2 linked regions of the Tribolium castaneum genome follow. The protein of the gene in region 2 interacts with the protein of the main gene of each other region in a biochemical or structural test. Links are inferred from orthologs where the notes say so. Each region holds a gene or a part of one and is shown on either strand. Other genes may lie near its edges.

What was found.
Region 1: the proteins of runt-related transcription factor 3 (region 2) and Jra form a complex in vitro, tested with the Homo sapiens proteins (2 studies listed by BioGRID). The link is inferred for Tribolium castaneum from reciprocal best matches to the Homo sapiens genes RUNX1 and JUN.

The regions. Positions count from the first base shown.
Region 1 is NC_087399.1:145,882-149,279, reverse strand, and holds Jra (Jun-related antigen), read left to right. Parts: upstream 1-1,320; 5' UTR 1,321-1,464; intron 1,465-1,512; coding exon of another isoform or gene 1,513-1,585; intron 1,586-1,626; coding exon of another isoform or gene 1,627-1,745; 5' UTR 1,746-1,753; coding exon 1,754-2,437; 3' UTR 2,438-2,653; downstream 2,654-3,398. Other genes in the region: uncharacterized protein LOC663924, read right to left, coding at 1-35; phosphatidylinositol N-acetylglucosaminyltransferase subunit Y-like, read left to right, coding at 1,513-1,585, 1,627-1,745; ClC-b (H(+)/Cl(-) exchange transporter 7), read right to left, coding at 2,803-2,985, 3,034-3,117, 3,173-3,398. UniProt on the Homo sapiens protein: Transcription factor that recognizes and binds to the AP-1 consensus motif 5'-TGA[GC]TCA-3'.
Region 2 is NC_087399.1:3,629,655-3,633,530, forward strand, and holds part of runt-related transcription factor 3, read right to left. Parts: intron 3,160-3,876; 5' UTR 2,856-3,159; coding exon 2,486-2,855; intron 1-2,485.

The DNA.
Region 1 (3,398 bases), about 3.5 Mb from region 2:
AGGGATAGTCCAGTAATGTATTGTAAATGGACCATTATTGGTTTGTGTTAAAAATTTCAAACGAAAAGAATTATTTAATTTAAATAAAATTAGATTATATGATCACGAAATGTTCGGTTTGAGTTCAATATGAAGACTGAATGCAGCTTCAAATAGGGCCTGCGCGAAACCTTGATTCTAACGGAAAGATTCATAAAGTGCGATCTGCGTTTAAGAAAAATATAACGGATTGTTTTTTCAATTTTTATTGATTGATAGTAAATGAACTGAAGTGAAGAAGGGTTACCATTTCCGTAATTACAAAAAAAAAAGTTGGCGTATACGTGTTACTGATTTGCTATGATGTGGCTCGATTAACTCCTACATAGTTTTTTTTTTCCGAAAAAAAAAATGTTTCGTTCGTGTTGCAAAGTCTGCAAAGTTGTGTCTACCCTTTAATTTATTATCCTAATTAGTATTACGAAACCGTTTGATACAATTGGATAATTCACCATATCCGTCCAAATTTGTTGCAATTGATGAAATAACACGTTGAATAACACCATCCATTTTTCCGCTTTGCGAAGGCGAGACAGGAAGTGGCAAATATTCCCTGTGGAATTATTATTTGCAAATCAATTTTATTTGGGTTTTTTAACCTATGAACCGTTGATGTATACCAAGGACGGACCAAGGAGCTCCTTGATGCATACACTCGGGGACGTATTTTGATCGAAAAAGTAATTTAAATGAATTATCCTATTAAGGTCAAGGGAACTGTGTTTACCCTAGGCAAACTAGCTCATACGCTACAAATAAAGCAGGTTAGGAATTTTTTCGTCATTTTGAAGAAATAGACAACTATTGTTGATCTCTTTATTACAATTTCTGTTATTTTAGTGCCAATGCTTCTTATCATACATTTTCTAAATAAAGGTTTTTTCCTCGCATGATAATTAAAAATAGTTATCTATTTGGTTATTACCATAATTTGTTTTTATTTTGTAGTACTTATCGCATTTAAAGTCGGACAGAATATAAAATATTTACACTTTTTTCTTTGTTTCCAAAGTTTTTTTGTAAATTAAATCACAATTTTTGAATGAAAATCGGCTAAAACTTTAGTCGTTAATATCACTGTCTTTTCATTTCTTAAATCGTATTTTTTGGATGGGGTAAGATGGGGTTCAAAGATCATGTTGGCAACCCGTAAAACACTGCGGTCAGTTTCCTGTAGAATTGTCTAGGTGTCGCTTTAGCGAATCATTTCGACATGACGTCATTCTCATTTCTGAAAATCCATGAAAGGGATGACTCATTCATATCGAAAGTTATTACGTCGTATTTGTTAGTATTCTGTAGTATTTCGAGAACAATACTACACAAGAAGTTAAAAGTTATATTCAAGAAATTTTCAAGCCAGTGTTGTGCTACATTGTGAGTCATTACAAATAAAAGCGCTTTGCTTTTGAATGTGGTGTTAAAGTAAGTGTTATAATATTAAAGATTCATTATTTACTTTTTTACCAAGTAATGCTTGAGGGACACCTCACAGACCTTCACTTTGTTTTCTTCTTCGAGAATCTTCATTTCTCGATATTCTTTTGTTTGCTATTGACGTAACTTAACCTAAAATTTCCATTTCAGATTTTATGGAAATTAGTGATTCCGTTTATTATTCACTGTTGGCTTTGGTCGTCGTGCCTGTTTACCTATTTTTCAATCTTTGGTCGTGGTTAGGTTGGGAATTGTACAAAAATAATTGATAAAAAAAATGAGCGGACCCAACTTTGAAAGTCAGCAAAAAAACCTCAGTAACATGAAGAAAAATCTCACTCTTGATCTTAATCAGTCGAAAATGAACATGAACCTATCGTTATCCCCCGACATCACGTCCGTCCTCAAAGTAGATACCCCTGACCTCCTCAAAGTGGACACACCCACCATTGAGAACATCATCTTGGCGAATAATATTTCACACACGCCTTCCCCTTCACTTATCTTCCCGCGGGACGTCACTGTGGAGCAAGAGAAGTTTGCAGGCGGTTTCGTCGAAGCGCTTAATTATCTTCACAATGGCAATTCTCAGCAAGGTTCTGACAGTAATGCCAGTACGGTTTACAGCGAACAGCAGAATTTCATGCCTGTGATCAAAGAGGAGCCCCAAACGGTGCCCAACGTGAATAATACGCCCCCAATGTCTCCTGTCGATATGGAATATCAGGAAAGAATGAAATTGGAGCGAAAGAGACAAAGGAATAGACTCGCAGCCTCTAAATGTCGTTCCCGCAAATTGGAACGAATCTCGAAATTGGAGGATAAAGTCAAACTGTTGAAAAGTGAGAATGTTGAATTGGCTTCAGTGGTCAACCAGTTGAAGGAACACGTGGGGATGCTCAAATTGGAAGTGATGGAACATGTGAATGCTGGCTGTCCCATCATTGCGGGACAGTTTTAAGGATAGAGTACGATTTATATTTTTTTATAAAAATTATACACCAGAGTGATTTTTTTATATTTTGGTGCTGAGATATTCATAGTTGTAGCTTTAATACTGTGACCATATTTTGTATGGAGCCATTTGAATTGTATTATTTACGGTAGATTTAGCGCGATTTGTTTTATTTTATGTAGTTTATCACATTTTTATTAATAAAAATTGTCTCAGTAACAAGTAGTGAATTCATTAAAAAAAATTGGTTAGAATAAAAACAATGGAAAATGGGTAAAGTCTTTAATTAACAATAAATAAAATTCTTTTGTCAAAAGCGACAACATAATTATTCGTGAAACTATATCATCATATCATAATACTGTAAGCGGTCATATTTCTTTGGAAATTAATAATTCTTCTACCCCCATGCGACCCCGATGTCTCCAGACTCTATAACGAGCTAAATCTTTCCTTGTTACCATTCCTATAACCTCATTTGTGTCATTAACAATCGGCAAATGTCGTAAACCGAGAGCTCGGAATAATCTAAACATTCGAGGTAGTGATGCCGACTGAAAAAAAAAAATGATTAAATGCTAATTACTTGTTTTTTTAATTACATGAAGCACCGTATATGGTGACGGATTCATAAACGGCCTCAGATCAATAGAATAAGTTTTTTCAACTTCGGAAACACTCACTTGCTAAAGAATTAAACTTAATTACTTAAAAAGGAAAGGGCGAGAGAAATACCACTACCTCTATTGTTGGATATCGGGGATACTCATCTCGAAAGATTCCCGCATTAATATCCTCCCAAAAGTCCGAATTTTCGTTAAAAATCTTCTTTTTCAAAATAACAATTAATTGTGACCTCAAAACTAACCCTCTTATTCTCCCATACGTGGTAACTTCCGATTGATCAGTTAGTGGCGGATCAACAACCGGAAATCCGTTATAAGTTGTTAATTTCAACAATTCAACA
Region 2 (3,876 bases):
AAGTTAACATTTAAAAGCAAACAAAAAATTTTATTTTATTAAATAATCTTAAAAAAAATCAAGGTTTTACAAATATGCTTTTTTTTGAATAGTTTGAAAGTTATATAAATGCGATAAGCAATGAGTTTTTTGAAATATTGAAACTAATTCTCGGGTCTTCAGTTTTATATCATTATTAAACATTCAAACAGCATCTATATCTTCAAATATTAAAAAATTTGCTAATAAAATTTTAATTTGTTATCCTTCAGTGTTTTAAATTTATAATCTAAACTAAAGCATAATAATAAATCCAGAGTATAAGTCAAGACAACACAAAAAGTCGAATTTTTTATAATATTAGCATCAGTTTAAGTATGAAAATCAACCAGTCCATAAAAATAGCCACTGTAATATTACAAGTTGTTAATTATTCAAATGAGCTACAACTATTTTTTTTTGGTTTTTTATTTACTACTACCAACGTTTTGCCACCTTTTTTAGATTTCATCAAAACAATAAATAATTAGAAAACTTTGTAGTTTATGTACGAATAAATTTCTAATTTGCCTCAAAAAAACAAAATAAACTGCACTTTGTCTACTATACCAAGAATACTTAAATATATTTAACTTTTATATTGCTACATTAAAAAATAAAAGTTTTTCTTCCTTCATTTATTGTTCTTAATACAAAAATATTTATGTTTTTTAGCTCCAGATTTTTTTTGTAATTTAAGAAAAAGTTATGTTCACGTTTACATTTAAAGTTACGTTAACCTCTTACGTTTACATCCTTTTCTCTTAAGATAATTAAACAGCATTTCTACATTTTTCAAGTTACAGTCCTACGTCTACAATTTAATGTTTTTATGTACCTTTTGCTGCATTATTTTCTAGTTTTTAGCGATTTTAAGCGTTTTCTTGTTTACGTTTAGAATCTCTTATTTGTGCTTCTGTCATATTTTACTTTCTAAGTCGGCATATTTCCTGCATTTTTCTTAATTTATTACTTAAATTTTCAAACTCAATAAAAAAACCACTAAATTAAAGTACAGAAAACATTTTTTTTGACATTTTTCATGTGTGTCAGTAGACATTTGATTTAAAAAAAATCATATTTTAAAAAATTGTAAATCAAAAAACTTCAATATCAAAATGTCACTATTTTTACCCTTATTATGACTTGCTGTTTGCTTTTGACTCCGATACTATTTTTTTTTCATTATAAGTCTCCCAAAAATCATAAAATTTGTGTATTTTTTGTTCTTTTTTTTTGTATAGTCAATTTTACGCCATTTTTCAAACATTTTTGCACAAAATTAAACTCGCTATTATATTATGTTAAAACATTTTTAAAGTCTCAGTGAATTTTTTAGTCAAAACCTCACTTATTGCGCAAAATGCAAAATTAAAAAATACCTAATTAGGTCGATGCAGAAAAAATTCTCTTTCATCTAGTAAAAGAAAAATTGAAACATGCCATTTAAAAAAAATAAGTTATAAGTTATAAGTTGTCCAAACTTAACTTCAAAATTTTTGGGTCTGTTAACTTCTTTTTCAATTTTGAACAAACTGGAGAACAGATGTAGGCTTTCTCTTTTAATTTTTCAAATATGATTTTGAAATCTCTAAAACTGACAGAATTACCGATTTTTTAAGTGATAGGTGCAAATCCAAAAATTTTCAAAAAATTTTAAAAATCTCGAAATCGAGTAAACTGATAAAAACGGTCTAAAATAACTCAACTAATGCAAAAACGCACTGAAAAACGTAGCTTTCCATTTGAAATAAGAAGATTGATGGCGACTTCCGGTATAACCAAAAGTGCTACCATCTTGAAAATATATTCATTGAGCAGAACTTAACAGATTATGGCTGAGTACCAACTTTCAAATAAATATCTTTATTAGAACTTTCAATATTTTAAATGTGGAATTTATACGGAACAGGCTGTATGTAAAATATAATTTCTGCTGTTGTAATAAAAATGCGTAAAATCGTTACGTTAATTTTTTATAAAAACGTTGGCAATAATGGATTTTTTTTCTGCAAGTGGTGTTATATAATTACTTGTTTTTCAGCCTGATGATGTCTAATGTAATAAGACGAAACGTTCCATAACTCTCTTTTGGTTCTTCCACAATAATTGTTCAACTCTATAATTTATTGAAGTTTATATCGATTTTGTTAATTATTGACTAGCTAAAATAATTTGATTTAGCTGCTTTCCTCTCGTTCCAATTCAATTTTATCGTCTTGAATAAGAAGTATAACATAAATATAATAAAAAATATAGATTAAAAAAAAACAGTTATTATTAGCAAAATCAAACTGATTTGATGACAGTATTTTTTAATTACAGCTATCGCTGTCCGCTCTAACATACCTGGAATTTACAAAAATTCGTGGAAGAGAATAAGATTTAAAACAATTTTTGTATAAACACGCGTGTTTTTGTTGTCGAAAAGTGCCAAACCCAGCCACAACCCCCTCCTCAAACTCACCCCTTCCGCTCCTGCCGACGAACCTCAAATCATTGAACTTGGCGACTTGGTTCTTCATGACCGCCGTGCAGTTCCTCAGCTCGGCGCAATAGTTCTCGTCGTTGCCCGCCCTGACCGTGACGACGGTGCCGTCGCCCACGTCGCCGAGGGCCACCACCTTGAAGGCCACCGGCAGCGTCTTGTTGGACCTCCAGTGCGGCGGCAGCACCGTGCAGACCACGTGCGGGCTGCCCGTCCTCACCAGCTCCCCCGGGTGCTCCGCCAGCAGCCCGTCGATGGTCCTCTCGGCGAGCATCTCCGCCGTCAGATTGCCATAGCTCCGGTCGTAGTGACCGGTGGTGGAGGTGACTTCTCCCGTCGCGAGATGCATGGAGGTCAACTTCTTCGCGGCATGACGCGGCCAGCGCACCGCGCGGAAATGCGATGAAAAATCACGGCTGTGATGCTGTGGCGGTGGACCGCAGCTGGAAAAGTGCGCGTGGGGTTTTCCCGCGACGCTTTTCTCCCCGCCTGCCACGACCAGTCAGCGATATGTTTTTCTAATTACGCTCTACCTCTCGCTTTGGCCCATTACGGGGCGATGTCATCACGCCGACGACGCCGTTTTTATTTTCGATGCAAAAACGGAACCGATTCACAACGGAGGTGCGAACGAGACGATTCTTGACAACGATCTGGAAACAAATACGGCCTTTCAAAACCAGAAACAAGTGCTAATGAAAGGGATCATTACAGGGATTTATGATAAAGCTGACCCCAAACTCTAAATTACTCAAACGACTTTTTCTGATACAATTAACTCAAATTTAGAGTAAATTTCGAAGTGGCCTACAATGACTATTTTTTGCTTCCAAATTTGAAGAAATAGTTGTTGAAAACAAATTTGGAAAAATTATATTTTTTGGACAGTCTGAAAATGTTCTAGATTATGTATAGAACAATAAAGTTGGAACAACCAAACTTGAAGTATTTATTTAAATGTTTAATTTTTTTTTATTTTATTATTAATTCTTGATGAGCAAAATATATTAATGCATCAAATAATACTAAGATTACTAATGTACTTAGTCACATTAGTACATTTTTAAGAAAAAATACTAGATTAACAAATTTTCTTGTAATAAAATAATTTTTTAAAAAACCTCGAAAAATATTTTAAATTTCCTATGCAAACCTCATATCGTTAGAAAGCTTATCAAAAATGCTATCAATACATAAAAAAATACATGGTGTTCTAGTTGAAAAAAATGAGTTAATCAACTTTTTGAGTTTTGGCACACTCTGTATATTAGCAGCGTGCTTTAACTAAAAATCATCTATTTGTTAACACTGCAAGGTATTGTAAATTTTTCTATTTTTTTTTTCTAAAATATTCAAAGACGACTTCGCAG